Coturnix japonica: one gene and its partners. The protein of the gene in region 2 interacts with the protein of the main gene of each other region in a biochemical or structural test. Links are inferred from orthologs where the notes say so. Each region holds a gene or a part of one and is shown on either strand. Other genes may lie near its edges.

Region 1 (4,672 bases), on a different chromosome or scaffold from region 2:
ACAGAGGTATGCTTGGTGTTAGGCATGGGGATGCAAGGGATACACCCTCAGACACAGGCTGCCTGTGGTCCCAGCAGGCAGTCTTGCACCTGAGTCGCAGCAATCCTCACTATCACTACAAGCTGGGGGGTGAAAGTTTAGAGTGCCCTGCCAAAAAGGATTCAAGAGGGCTGGCAGATGGCAAGCTGGACATGAGCCAGCAATGTGCCCTCACAGCCCAGAATGCCAACGGTGTCCTGAGCTACGTCAAAAAGAATACCATCAGCAGGTACTCTGTGCCTCACCTGGAGTACTGCATCCAGATGTAGAGTCCTCAGTTCAGGAGACATGGACCTGTTGGAGTGTGTCCAGAAGAAGGCCACAAAAATGATCCAATGGATGCATGACTTCTCCTACAAGGACAGGCTGAGAGAGCTGAGGCTGTTCAGCCTGGAGAAGACAAGGCTCTGGGGAGACCTGAGAGCAGCCTTTCAGTATCTAAAGGGGGGTGTAAGAAGGAAGGGGATGGACTCTTTAGCAGGATCTGTTGTGACAGGACAAGGGGAAATAGCTTCAAACTAAAAGAGGAGATATTTAAATTGCATACTTATAAGGAAGAATTTTTGTGTGTGTGTGATAACGGTGGTGAGGTACTGGAAACAGGTTGCCCAGAGATGTGGTGGACATCTGGTCCCTAGAGACATTCAGGGTCAGGCTGGACCTTGATCTAGCTTTAAGTGTCTCTGTTCATTGCAGGAATAAATGTACCTTTAAAGGTCCCTTCCAACTCAAAAGATCCTGTGGTTCTATGACTGCAGACCCGACGGTGAGGGAAGAACGTCCTTCCTAGATGTTGCCTTTTGGGTGAATCCGGACAGGTTCCGGCTTCTGGAGGGCAGCAGAAGTGAGGCTGATTCCCGTGACAGTACCGCACGTTGTCACAGTCATGGTCACAGCCATGGCCACTGGGAGGTGGCTCTGTGGGACACGGAGCGCTGATGGCCGTACGTAGTTGAGGGGAGAGACTCGGCTCGGACTTAGGTGACCCCAGTGTCCCGATATCGCGGCCCGGCCGCTGTTTGCTTTTTGCTTTGCCTCTGAATGGAACGTGGAGCTCAGCCGCGACGGGCTGCCTCGTGTGGCTCCGGCGGTACAGCGGGGTGTTGGCAACCCAGCCCAGGGGCTGTCTTTGTCAGCAGCGCCAGCAGAGCAACAAGCCCCGTGGGGTGAATAATTAGGGGAAGCGCTTTTTTATGAACTAAATCTCAGGAAGTGTGGTGTTCTTTGCCGTGTGAAGCCGCCCCGATGACCCATATGAAATATTTGCGTCCGTTGTTGAGACTGCGCTTCGGGAGCCGAAAAGCAGCGGCAGCGGCAGAAATGCCGTGTACGTTCCGGACCCGCTGTTGGTCACGCCGCACGCCGACATGCCGCCGGAGAATTCCTCAATGGCGCTGCCCCCGCCCCCTCTGCCCGCAGGCCGCGCCCCCCGCTCGCACGTGTGGATCTGCTCGCCGCTTGTACCCCTCGGGCAGGACCCGCCCCCCGGGCGCCCATTGGCCGCGGTGGCCGCAGGGGGCGCGGTGAAGGCGTGGCGCTCCGTGCCGGGCGGGCTCCACCCACGTGCGGCGGCGCGGCGGGAGCGGGCGGGCTGCGAGCACACATCCCGCACGTAGCCCGCGTATTAATCAGCGCGGGGCCATCTGCCGCCCGCCCCTTAAAGCGTTGGGGGGCTGCGGGCGTCGCGAGGGAGCGGTTTGGTGTTGTGCGGTAACAGCGATATCGGCGCGGGGCTCCGACGGCGGCGTCGTCCCCGAGGCGCGGGGCTGAGCCGAGGCACGGAGCTGAGCGCGGCCGGTCGGTCCGGGCGTCCGCAAAGTTTGGTCCCGTCCCGGAGTCCCGTCCCGGCCTGGAGCCGGCGGGCATCACCTCCCAAGGCGGGTGCCTGCAGGGCAGCGGCGCGCTCGTCCCCGCCGCGCCATGCCGCTGGGGCACATCATGCGGCTGGACCTGGAGAGGCTCGCTCTGGAGTACGTCGTGCCCTGTTTGCACGACATCGGCTTCTGCTACCTGGACAACTTCTTGGGGGAGGTGGTGGGCGACTGCGTGCTGGAGCGGGTGAAACGCATGCACCGTGACGGTGAGCTGGCCGACGGGCAGCTGGCCGGCCCCAGCCGCGGTGTGGCCAAGCGGCATCTCCGCGGCGACCAGATCAAGTGGATCGGGGGCACGGAGGAGGGCTGTGAAGCCATCAACTTCCTTCTCACGCTGATCGACCGCCTGGTGATGTACTGCGGCAGCCGGCTCGGCAAGTACTACGTAAAGGAGCGCTCCAAGGTAAGCGGAGCTGCTCGCGGCTGCGGGAGGTTTCCCGCTCCCGGCCCGGGGACGCCCCGTCGGGCAGATCCCGTGGCGTCGCTCCGGGCGTCACCGGGAGCGCTGTCCTGGAGAGCGGGGAGCACGGACGGCTTCTCGGAGTGGGGCCACTTGGGGCGGCTGCCCGATGCCTCGTTCCTGGTGCCGGTCCCTCGTCCGTCAGTGGCGTTGTGCTGTGTCCCGGCGTCACCTCACTTGCCAGCTGCGGAACCCGGCACCGTCGTGCTGGGAGCACCCTGCCAGAACAGCCCGGCCGTGGGCTTGACTGTCCTTCAGGGACTTGGTCCAGGTGGACGGAGAGCCCCTCCGTGCTCGGTTGGATCGGGCTACTCGCGACCGTTTGTCAGTGCTGTCCTAACTAGTTTCAGTGTTCGTGCCGGTGTCCTACACCTGAAGCTGCTCCCGTCGGGATTTGGCACAAAGTAAGGGATGCTCTGTCTTAGTGAGGCAAACTTTTTGTTTTGGAAGGAGAGAATCCGTATTTTGTCCCGAGGCTCTCATGTTTGGAAATGGAGAGGACCCCTGTGTATTGCCTTTGTAGATTTCTTTCCCAATGAAATGTGTTTGTCCTTTTCATGTTGGTAATTAAGTTTGGCCTAACTTCGTTTTGCTGTCCTCGTCTCGCTGTAGTGAAGCAGGCTGGTTTGGCACTAACTTTATTTCTTTGTCCTGAATATTGAAAATGTCCCCGTTTCTTTTTTCTATTCTTTTCTGACTTGAGTTCTGTAATATGTAGCACACTTCTAAAACATCCATGTCTTCTTCAGAAATGCTAGAAATAAAAATGGTGGTGTTTTTTTTTTTTTTCTTTTTTAATTAAAAGACAAATGAAAGGTTAAGTATTTGGTTGGGTCCTAACGAACTAGAAGGATGTGTGATTGGTGATGAGACTTTTTTTTCTCAACAGAAAAATGAAGGATCTAACATGCCATGTTTACCAACTTCTTGGGAACCCCTTAAAACCTGTGTGTGGGAAGGCCCCCACACACCTCCGCACAGTGATGGGAGAAATATAAGGATGGAGCATGGCTCTATTGTGCAGCCCCACTGAACTGCCCATCAATCTGGTTAAAGCTTGGGTAGATTTAGTTTAAAAGGAAAGTGGATTGGAGTTCACTTATTTGTGGTGTAGGAAGGTATAAATACCTAGTCTGCTTGGGCATGCCTCTAAGGGCATCTTAGATCCTTTTCTGGGTGACTTCTGTTTGCCTGGCTTCTGCCGAAGGCGCAATACTGCATGTTAGCGAGGTATCTGGGGAAAAACTCAGCTAGGTGTGGGAGGGCTGTTGGTGCTGGCTGGGGAGAAGGGTCTCTTGGGATGTAGGGTCTTTGAAACTGAGTTGTGGTCTTGCCACAAATTTGTGCCCACAGCAGTAACACATGACAGAACTTGTTTTATAAATAAGTACCAAGCTGCTTGCTATCAAGTGAGTCTTTTGGCCCTTGTGATTCATCAGGGAAGTATCAGACTCCAAGTAGTACATGAAAATGCTGTACAACAGCATGAGATTGAAAGGGACTCCATACAGTTTGCAAAACTAAATGAAGAGAAATTTCCATCTGAAATTAAGAGTAACAAATCCCTTAAGGTTAATAATATAAATGCCATGGATATGGGAGTAGCAGCTGTCATCTGTAGCTGGCATGTGGGACACCTTTGGCAGGAAGATTATTCCCGTGACTAATCAAATGACTCCTGCAGTACATGCAGGCTCCCACGTCACCTATGGACATTCTCCTTCCACCATTAAACCAGTCCTTTTTTGCTTATTTTCTGAAGACTTGTGAACACATACGCTGAATTTAAAAGTATGATTTTTGTGTGTTTGTTTATTTTTGTTCTATCAACTCTACACAGACATAGATGCCCAGACAACCTCTTAGAGGGAGAAGTTTCTGAGCAACTGGGCCACCACTTCTTAGATAGAGATATGCTTTTATCTACTGATTTGGGAAATGAATATTGACAGATAGGGCTAAGAGTTCCAGATCAGTCTGTTGAAAACGTAAGTCTTTGGCTACGTGGTAACTCCTTGTTGTAGAAGTGAATTGGCCTCATCATTATTTATATATTTAAGGTTTTAAAATAATAGTATGTCCTTAATCTGCAGCTTAAGTATTGGAGAAGTAGGGTAAGTTTTCTTAATAAATGAACTTTTATAAGCTTACTATCTGCTTATTGTAATGTGCTTCATGGGTTTTGTTTTTTTGCAGCTAAACAAATGTCAGAAGACAAGAAAGGCTCTTGTACAACAAAGGAAGCTTTCCTTGCAGCTACATTTGAGAAATAAGTCAGAGTAGGATTTTGTTGTTTCCA
Region 2 (4,637 bases):
CATTTGTTTGGGGGTGGGGATCAGAAAAGGCCTCTGCACCCCAGGATTTGGAGAGAACCTTGGGGTCCCTTTATTCTCAGAGCTCCAAAGAACTTCCACACCTATGTCAAAGACTCTCAAGAGAGAATGGCAGAGGAAAAGCAGCATGTTGGCCATGTAACTCAAGAGAGGACAGAGCACAGCACAGCTCACCCCACACTATGGCTCGTTCTGGCTTTGCCGTGGCACAGCCTTCAGTGTGTCTGAATGCACTGCACATTACTGAGTGCCAAAGGAAAAATAAAACCAGAGCTGCAGTCAAAGCATTGTTCTCTGGTACCTTGGACTGCATCATCTTGCAAAGCTCGGCAGTGCTTCACAAGGAAGAAAAAAGCAGAACTCCACTAACACTGCACCTCCTTTTAATGAGAGCACGGGCAGTGTCTCAGTGGAACTCCTCGCAGGGCGCACAGCCACCAATGAGTCACACATGGTGCACGCCCGAGCAGCGATAACAGCACCATTCTGGGAAGTGCAGCCACACCTCGGAGGAAAGCGTTGCTCATTTAAGGGCAAGAGGAGTCAAGTCAGCAGCAGAACTCTCGGGAAAATGCTGTATGTCATGTGCCCGATGAGCTGACGGGGAATTCAAACCACAGCCCTGTTCATGGCCGCCCCGTCCGCTGCGCTGCTCAGCGGCACCACGCAGCGCTTTGTGCGCCCAGAGCCGCATCCAGCCCGGCGCAGGGACAGACAGCAACCACGGCAGCGGGCAGGGAAGCGCGCAGCTTCAGCCCCGGCTCTGCCCGCTTCCTTCTTCAGCCCCGCCGGCAAATGAAAGGGACGCGGGGACATTCCCACCCCCGGGCCGTCCTCACTTCTCCTCCGTTACCAAAACACAACGCGTTTAAACCGGTGTTTTATTTTCAACATTCTGTTACGGGGGGGATGAAAACAGCCCCATTTCTTTTACCCGACCTCCGCCCCCAAGCAGCGCTGCAGCACTGTTCCATTCTCCATCAGACCCATCTCTCATCGTTCCGTCCTCCCGCTCGCTCCGCTCTCACGCCCCGTCCCGTCCCCGCGAGGAGCCGCGCTCCTCCGCCGCTGCTCGCGCTCAGCACGGCGGCTCAGCGGTCCTCACGAGGGCCGGCACGGGCAGGGATCGGGCCCGAGCCCACGCGGATAACGGCGCCCGGTGGGTTTCCTCAGCCCCGCGGGGCGTCAGCGCCACCGGCGCCCCTTCATCCCAGCGCGGCCGGACGCGGAGCGCAGCGCCCTCGGTTACCGCAGCGCCCTCGGTTACCGCAGCGCCCTCGGTTACCGCAGCCCCGGACGGGCCCGGCGGACGGAGCCGCGTTCTCTCCCGGCATCGCAGCGTACCGGGCGGGGCGGGGCGGTGCGGGGCACGGTGCTCGGGCCGCCGCTGACCGCTCCCGAGTCTCGCCCGCTCCGTCCTGGCACCGCAGCCGTGGGCGCGGCGCTCCCCTGCCTCCTCCTCCTCCTCATCCTCATCCTCCTCCTCCTCCTCCTCCCCCGCTCCCCCCGCCGCCCCGCTCCGCTCCCCGCCCCGCCCGTCCCCCGGAGCATGCTCGCTGCGGCGGGGCCGGGCCGGAGGCTGCGCGCGGCCGCCTCTTGCGTCAGCGGAGCGTTCCGGGCGGGCGCGTCGGGTCCCGAGAGCCGCGGCCCGATGGTGGCGGCAGCGCGGCGCCATGAGCCGCCCTTCGTCCGCCGGGCCGGGCTCTAACAAACCCTGCGGGAAGCAGCCGCCGCCGCACGCCCCCGCCCCGGCCGCCGCCGCGCCCGCTCCCGCCGCCGCCACCATCGCCGCGTCCGGTGCCGGATCCTCCGCCGTGCCCGCGGCCGCCGCCGTCCTCTCCGGGCCGGGCGGGCCCGTGTCTCCGCAGCACCACGAGCTGACGTCGCTGTTCGAGTGCCCCGTGTGCTTCGACTATGTGCTGCCGCCCATCCTGCAGTGCCAGGCCGGGCACCTGGTCTGCAAGCAATGCCGGCAGAAGCTGAGCCTCTGCCCCACCTGCCGGGGCTCGCTGACCCCCAGCATCAGGAACCTGGCCATGGAGAAGGTGGCCTCGGCCGTGCTCTTCCCCTGCAAGGTGAGCGGACGGGGCGCCGGGTTGGACGGGACCCCCTTTCTGCTCACAGCCCTGCTCCTATTTCAGACGTGACAAAAACAACTCGTTTTCTCTCATCGTTGAAATAAGCGCAAGTGGTAAATGCGCTCGTAGGTACGGAGCTGACTTAATGCGGACACAGGGCGGGACGCAGGGCTTCATCTTTTGGAAAAGAAACCTCGCTCTTCGCAGCTTCCATAGGAGCAGCGATGCTCTGCGTCCCGAGAGCTGGGGCAGGGTTAGGGACACCTCCCTTAGGGAGGGTCCTGCTGAGATCCTTTAACTTGTCACCTCTGCCTGGAGCTGCTGCCCCATTTCTGAGCCTTCTTGTGGTTCTGATCCCTCTGAAGAAAAGGGAATCCAGTGAGGATTCATTTCGCTGTACTCTTTATGTTTAGTCCGAGGGCAAGATGTGGAATCCTTTCTGCACTCCACATCCAACCGTAATGTTTTGCTTTTAGAACCACTAGGCGTAGTGAGGTTGTGTATCCATTGAAAGGGCTCCGGCAGCATCGCACTGAGCGCTGCCCCCTTCGGCCGGGCGCAGGGACAGGCACTGCAGCCTCGGGCCGCCGCTGCTTCGCTGTGCAGCTGGGAGGGAAGAGCAGGGATGGACTCAGCGTGTCATTCCCGGCTCTGCTGCAGATTTCCCCTGCAGCTTCAGACAAGGTGCTTTAATCCCATATACACCCTGCCTTCATTCACTGACCTGGCTCTGCTGAGCACCTTCAAGCTTAGCCAATGTTTTCAGAATGCTTTCAGGCACTCACATTACCTGTAAGGGGAAGTCCAGGGTAACGCGAGTGAAGTGACGTACATAGCAACAACACGGAATGCTAAGTCATTATGTGGTGATGGCTGCAGGGCTGCCTGCTTCCTCTTAGGAAGGTGAATGTGGTGCAAGTAGTGCTGTGACGAAAGGTACTCGTAAAAGTGGAATGCTGGGAGCGAGAGAAAGGCAATGTGAGAGCACGGAGCAGTCACATCAGCTCCGGCATTTGTGGTGCACCAGCACTGCCTGCACCCTGCGCTCCTGCCTCAGGAAGGACACAGGAGAAGTGGAAAAGGTAGAGCCGTCAATGAGATGGGCGGTATCATATGACCTGCACGCAGGGAAAGACCAACAGGCTCTTTGGTTTGAATGAGGATATGGTAAATATCGGTGACATGTGCCAAACAGCATGAAGGCAACAAGTGCTCTGTGTTCCCAGAAGATCTGTGAGAGTCCCTTACAAACCCAGAGCGCTCCGTGAATCTGTTCACAACCTCCTGCTCACCAAACAAAACTGCTGCTGTGTGTTCAGGAGCCAACAGAAGGAGGTGGGTCACAGCAAAGGAAAAACCACAGCTATTTCCTCAGCTCTCTTCCTTGTGTGTTCACCACTGGTCACTTTCTGATACAGGCTGACACTACGCAGACGTTTGCTTTTGCCCATCCAGCAGCTTACATGTTCTTACTGCTTTTCTAACAGGGTCAGACCGAGAGCGGTTCTTCAGCAAAGTGCAAAGCGATTACATTGCCAACAGGGGTATGAATGTAGAGTGAAAACAGCAGAACAGTGAGAGTGGAAGCATAGAACCCAGCGGCAGGGAGCCGTGCTCTGCATGGTGGGTTTCTGCCTGCAGCAGGAGGAGCCCTGGTTGCACCGCAGCACACCTCTGTGCTCCTGTCACAGGTGGATAAATCCTGTCACAGAGGATTAAGCAGCAGAGCACACGTTATGGCTTATAAAGCAAGCTCTGTAGAAGCACAAGGTCTCGTTTCTGTCCCAGCAGTTGTAGCACTGTGCTGCAGTGTGGGTGATTTGGCTGCAGTAAGGAGGACTGTGGCGTCTGCATCTCAGGCATTTCACTCTTTGAGCTGAAACTAATTGTGTTTGCATTTAACCCCAAAATACGCTGTTAAACTTTGATGAATTTGGACTTTGCTTAGTTGAACATTTTACAAAAAGTCTGTCCAGACTTGTGTTTCCCCAGAGATTGTCTTGTTCCTTCAAACATTCTCTCACCTTTGGTCTCAGAGCACAGTCCCTGACCCAAAGAAGCGTCCTACCTCCTGTAGGCAGCCACACGTGGGCTGTGATGGCGGGACCGCATGAGCAGAGTTGCAGAAGTCTCTCCAGCTGTCTGCAGATGGGGGGAGCTGTGCTCCTGCTCAGAGCAAAAGACGCGTTTCTCCTTAGAGGTAGTGAGGAAGAAACGTGTTCAGTGCAGACAGCGACTCGGTGTTGAAAAGGAAAAGCATCCCTGTTTGCTGAAAGCAGATTAACCTTTGGAGGTGCCCGATGACATTAAGAGCAGTCACGCGGTGCTCACTTGTGATGAGCTCTGTGCTCCATAAAAAATCAGCATCTCTCTTCCCACTCTTTGAAACCGTGGTGCTAAAACTTGGGATCGTGGGTCTGAGTTTAATGGAAGTAGGTCTGCTCTGTGTTTATTAAAGGATGCTGTTGCAGTAGCTGTTTGCTGAGACTGGCATCCTGTGTGCTTTCTAAAGAGAAGAATCCATACTGGGACCACTTCAGC
Region 3 (4,634 bases), on a different chromosome or scaffold from region 2:
TCTGGGCAGGGCACAAGGTGGAATATTCCCACAAATCAAGTACACTGAGTCTTTATGCTGGCTTCTATTTATAGCCAAAAGTTTTCACTATACACTTACCTAATACATAAGTCACACCTGTCTATTACATATTCATATGTTTATGTAAGTTTAAGGTTATATAACATATTCAATTCTTCTGCGTTTGCACAGGGGTCTTTAGTGATGGTCTGGGGAGGCATCCCACTCCTCGCTTTATCCGTATTTGGGCACAAGGACATTTAGTCTGTTCTGATTGGTTCCTCTTTTGGACTTGTGCCCTCATCTCAAGGATGCTGTCCCTGTGGGTCTAATTTATGGCAGTCTTGGATCTTTGAAGAGAAACATCCCATCTCAGGAAGGTTGTTTATCATAGATAAGCAGGACATCTGGAACTTAAAGCAGAGCTTCAACCTTGAGCAAAACACCTCAGACAGACAAAAATGTCAGATCAGCTTTTGAAACATCACCAGCACTAGACTGAGCAGCCCATAAGTTCCCCATGTCCATCATGGCAGAGCACTATGCAATGCCTGTCAGGCTCTGCAGCTCAGCTGTGCTTTGGCAGCTGAGAGGCTGAGGCCCATGAGGAGGCAATCCCAGGAGCAGAGAGCTCTATCCAATGGTCATGGCTCCAAGCTGATAGAGTTCAAAGAGCATTTAGAGGATGCTCTCAGATGCAGGGTTTGAATTTCGGGTGGTCCTATATGGAGCCAGAAGTTGGACTCAATGATCCTTGTGGGTTCCTTCCAACTTGGGATATTCAGCAATGCTGTGCAAAGTCAGTACCTTGCTGACTGCAGGGCGCTCTAGGGATATTCCTACTACCAGCACATCCAAGATGGAGCTGCCAGGCCAAGAGCAGATGGAACTCCTGGAGCTGGACAAAACCAAGTCGGCTCTGACATTTCCAGGTTGCCATCTATATTTCATAAACACTGTGATGCTCATTTTATTAGGCAGGTGGCTGTGGTGAAAAGCAGCCTGACATGGGGCAGCCCTACTCAAGGGTCTCAGCCCCTTACAGACAGACGGCAGAGGCACCCCTGGCATTGAGCCTTCCTGGCACAGCTGCCTTGTTTGACAGCCATCAGATTCTCTGTGCCTTGCTCTATTCCTTCTACCTTTTAGCCCATTTTTGTTCACTTGTGTGTGGTTTGTGGTTCTGTTATTTCCCGTAGCTGTCTGCTGAGCTCCTTGCCCATTTCTAGTCAAGCTGACAGCAGCTCTGTTCTATGCAGGGCTGAAGGCAGGACACGGCAAGGTGAGCATGAATCCCACCAGCACGGCTTCCCTGCAGCAAGCCACACCCGGATCCCACCAACAGCGCACAGCCAGGAGCCCAGCATGGCTGCCAGCACAGACACAGCTCAGACGCGGAGCTCTGCCCTCGGTCCCCACGCAGTGTCAGTGCCGTTATCGGTGCAGCACAGCCGGCCCGTGGCACAGCAGCACGGCGCCCCGCTCCGCGCCCCCCGCCCGGCGCCACGCCCGGCTCCCCCCGCCGCAGCACTTGGTGCGGCCCTAAGCGCTTCCGGCTCGCGCCGGGCCTGCATCCGGTGTCCGCCCTCCAGCTCCTCCCGCCGCCGCCGCGATGCTGCTGCTGTGGCGGTCGCGCTGCCTGGGCCGGGCGCTGGGCCGCTCGGTGCGCACCCTGCGGCAGGTACGGCCCGGAGCGGGTGGCGGCGGGAGCGGCCACGGGCGGCCGGCCGCCATGCTTGGGACAGCGGGATCGGCGGCGCCAAGGGCACCGGGACGCGACCGGCTCGGCCCCGCCGCCGATCCGGGGCGGGAGCACGGCGGGTGGTGCGGCCTCGGTGCTGAGTACCGGGACGGAGGGAGCGGGGCGGGCTGCCCAAGGGGGCGGAGGGAGCCGGGACTGCGAGGGAACCGGGACCGGGACGGAGCCCTCGGCTCGGCCGCTCCGCTCTTCCCTTTGGCGGCCGCTGTGGTGCCGGAATTGCAGGTGCCCGTCGTTAAGCACACGGGTACACGCGCGTATTGTACAGCGCACTGACAGCGGTTTGTAACCGTGTGTTTGGTTTCGTTCCTAACGGTGAACCTGTGCTGTGGTGGCACGGTGGTTACCGTGCTTGTTGAAGTGTCGCTTTAATAATAGTTATTTTTTATCAGCATTTATGGTGCTGTGTAACTATGCAGAACAGGTGGAGAATACAGACGTTTTCAAAAGCAATTTGCAAAGAGAGAGGCCGCAGCTGAACAGCAGGTGGGCAGTGAGCTGTGGGTGTCCTGCTTGAGGAGGAGGAAAAGCGGTACGGTGAGAGGTGAAGGATGTAGTGGCAGCTTGACATCTCTTGGGGTAGGGATGTGGAGAGTGAGTGCTGATGCAGGGATAACATGGGGCCGGGGGGAGCCGTAAAAGGAGTAGTGGAGCGTGGCAGGTCTGTGCTGGGAGAAGTGAAAACAACAGACGTGGACAAAAATCAGAAGTGTCCAACTGAATGGAAGAATGGTGAAGTCAGCAGGAAACAGCACGTGGAGGGAGGGGACGGCTGGGTTTAGTGCTTGGGAAGAAGAAGGAGGTTTATATGTCAAGTTGGAATCATGCAGGTGCCACTGAGGCTCCTGTCCAGATGAGTCCAATGCTGCAGCTGAGTGGTGACCCAAGGCAGTGCCAAGAGGAGCAAGAGGTTCTGAAAGGGATGGTGTGATGGGAGCTGTCAGCTCTACTTTGGCGATGAAATCCTCGCGTTTCTCTGGGGAAGAGTTTATTAAGAACTTCCTCCCGGGCTGATCCCTTCCACATGCAGGAGGAGCTGTCAGCCTGTTGTCTTAGTAACTGTACCCTGTATCCACTCTGAATTGTTATCTCCCTCCTATCTTTGCATCTGCCTTGTTGCGCTATATATAATTGTGTTAAAGACACACGGTGGGTTTTCTGTGAACAGTGTTTTACATCCACCCTTGCTAGTAGAGCAGCAGCCACATTGCTTTGCAGGATCCAGGGCTGGCAAAGTGATTGCTGCAGTCAGAGCTGCTCAGCACTGGGCTCTCACTGTGGCTCTGTGCAATGGGCTGCACCGATGTCTGTGTGTGGTGACCTGCTGGAAGGTGACAGCTCCTTTAAGGTGTGGCCTGAGGTGGCACGTGCTGGGGTCACTTTGACATAACAGCAGTGTAAAAACAATTCGGAGAAGTCATGTGGAACCGGGGGAAAGCATTAATCACTTGTGGTGTGAGTCACTAACAAATTAGAACAAGACTTGTTCCTCCAAGTGAGTGCAGCTGCTTTATACTGACCCACAGTGCTAACACCAACCAGTTGAACATACAGTGTTCCTGTTCTACCAAAGATCTGACACGTGGCATCGCAGTGATTCCTTCAGGGAAAAAGGGATGGGGAAACATGCCTGCTGGGCATCTCAGAGCTGCAAGTGCTGGCACACTGTGCTTAGAGGTGGGCAGAGCAAGGCAGAGAGTGTCTTGGTGTCTTTCATTACAGCTTCTCAGACCGATAGAGCTCTTCTCTCAGTTCTTGCGTAGGGCAAAACAGTGCCATTTTTTCTTTATATTGCAGCAGCTGTAGCACACAGACTTGGCTCATCTCCTGGAGATCTGCACATGTGTTTTCTCACAGCTGTTTACTTTAGCACGGACCTTTTAAACTTCTTGTTAAACTTATAGTAAGCTTACACTGGGTCTGTACTCTTTCTTTATGAGTTACTGTCTGGGATGCTTGGATTACCCTTACAACTTTATACAGTTCCCAGGAAAACATTAATGGACAGAGGGAAGCTCATATTCCTTGGCATTTTATTTGAGATTAACTTCAGTGCTATCTGAGATGTCACAGAAATTGGGGAGGATTTGACCAGTGCAGGTGTTGAGAATCATGGGGCTTTAGGTACACAACCAGATGCAGTTAACAGGAGGTTTGTCTTAGTGATCCTGACTTAGCACTGTTTCTGCATGAACTGGAGCAATGCAAGCAGTGCTGGGGTTAAGCTGTGTAGCACTCAGGATGGCACTACACCTTGCTCTCCCTTCTCCACAGGCCCTGCTGGTTTTGTTTCTAGGACGCTGGTCCTAAGCTGGGGTGCTGCATGGAGTGGTGCTGCAGCTGATGGGCTCTACTAGATCCCTGCTGGTTCAGCAGCTGTGCTGTGCATCCTCAGCACTGCTGATTTGCAGCCATGTCGACCTGCCTTTAGACAATTGAATTGACTGCACGTTAATATCTGGAAAGGCAAATCTATCCTTGAGTTTGGATAATTGAACTGCCCAGGGGCTAATTTCAGAACCGTTAATAGTTTTGATGATGTGAAGTGTTTGTTGAGTGTATTTTAGGATGTTATATCACTCAGTCCTGTAGATAAGACACAGGATTAAATATCTCTTTGGTCCTTGATGTTTCTGCTGTCTGTGACACACATCTCCAGAAGTCATTTTGGTATTTAAGATCAGCTGTATTGCATTTTTCTTGTTCCGGTAATACTGAAGTTGGGGTTTCTACATAAACTTCCATTCTGAAGCAGATGTTCTGAATGACATCTAATTTTTACCTTCTGTATATGCTGCTGGATTAGGACACTCGGAGCTGTTAAAACCATCATTAATTGCATTTTAGTCATGAGTATAGTGGTATTTTCCTACAG

Evidence for each region. The genes of interacting proteins can lie anywhere in the genome.
Region 1: the proteins of SIAH2 (region 2) and EGLN3 form a complex in vitro, tested with the Homo sapiens proteins (2 studies listed by BioGRID). The link is inferred for Coturnix japonica from reciprocal best matches to the Homo sapiens genes SIAH2 and EGLN3.
Region 3: the proteins of SIAH2 (region 2) and DLST form a complex in vitro, tested with the Homo sapiens proteins (2 studies listed by BioGRID, with this or other methods). The link is inferred for Coturnix japonica from reciprocal best matches to the Homo sapiens genes SIAH2 and DLST.

What each region holds. Positions count from the first base shown.
Region 1 is NC_029520.1:32,346,218-32,350,889, reverse strand, and holds the start of EGLN3 (egl nine homolog 3), read left to right. Parts: upstream 1-1,590; 5' UTR 1,591-1,959; coding exon 1,960-2,316; intron 2,317-4,672. UniProt on the Homo sapiens protein: Prolyl hydroxylase that mediates hydroxylation of proline residues in target proteins, such as PKM, TELO2, ATF4 and HIF1A. Target proteins are preferentially recognized via a LXXLAP motif.
Region 2 is NC_029524.1:20,988,779-20,993,415, forward strand, and holds the start of SIAH2 (E3 ubiquitin-protein ligase SIAH2), read left to right. Parts: upstream 1-1,582; 5' UTR 1,583-1,691; coding exon 1,692-2,093; intron 2,094-4,637. UniProt on the Homo sapiens protein: E3 ubiquitin-protein ligase that mediates ubiquitination and subsequent proteasomal degradation of target proteins.
Region 3 is NC_029520.1:34,551,385-34,556,018, forward strand, and holds the start of DLST (dihydrolipoyllysine-residue succinyltransferase component of 2-oxoglutarate dehydrogenase complex, mitochondrial), read left to right. Parts: upstream 1-1,552; 5' UTR 1,553-1,612; coding exon 1,613-1,681; intron 1,682-4,634. UniProt on the Homo sapiens protein: Dihydrolipoamide succinyltransferase (E2) component of the 2-oxoglutarate dehydrogenase complex. The 2-oxoglutarate dehydrogenase complex catalyzes the overall conversion of 2-oxoglutarate to succinyl-CoA and CO(2).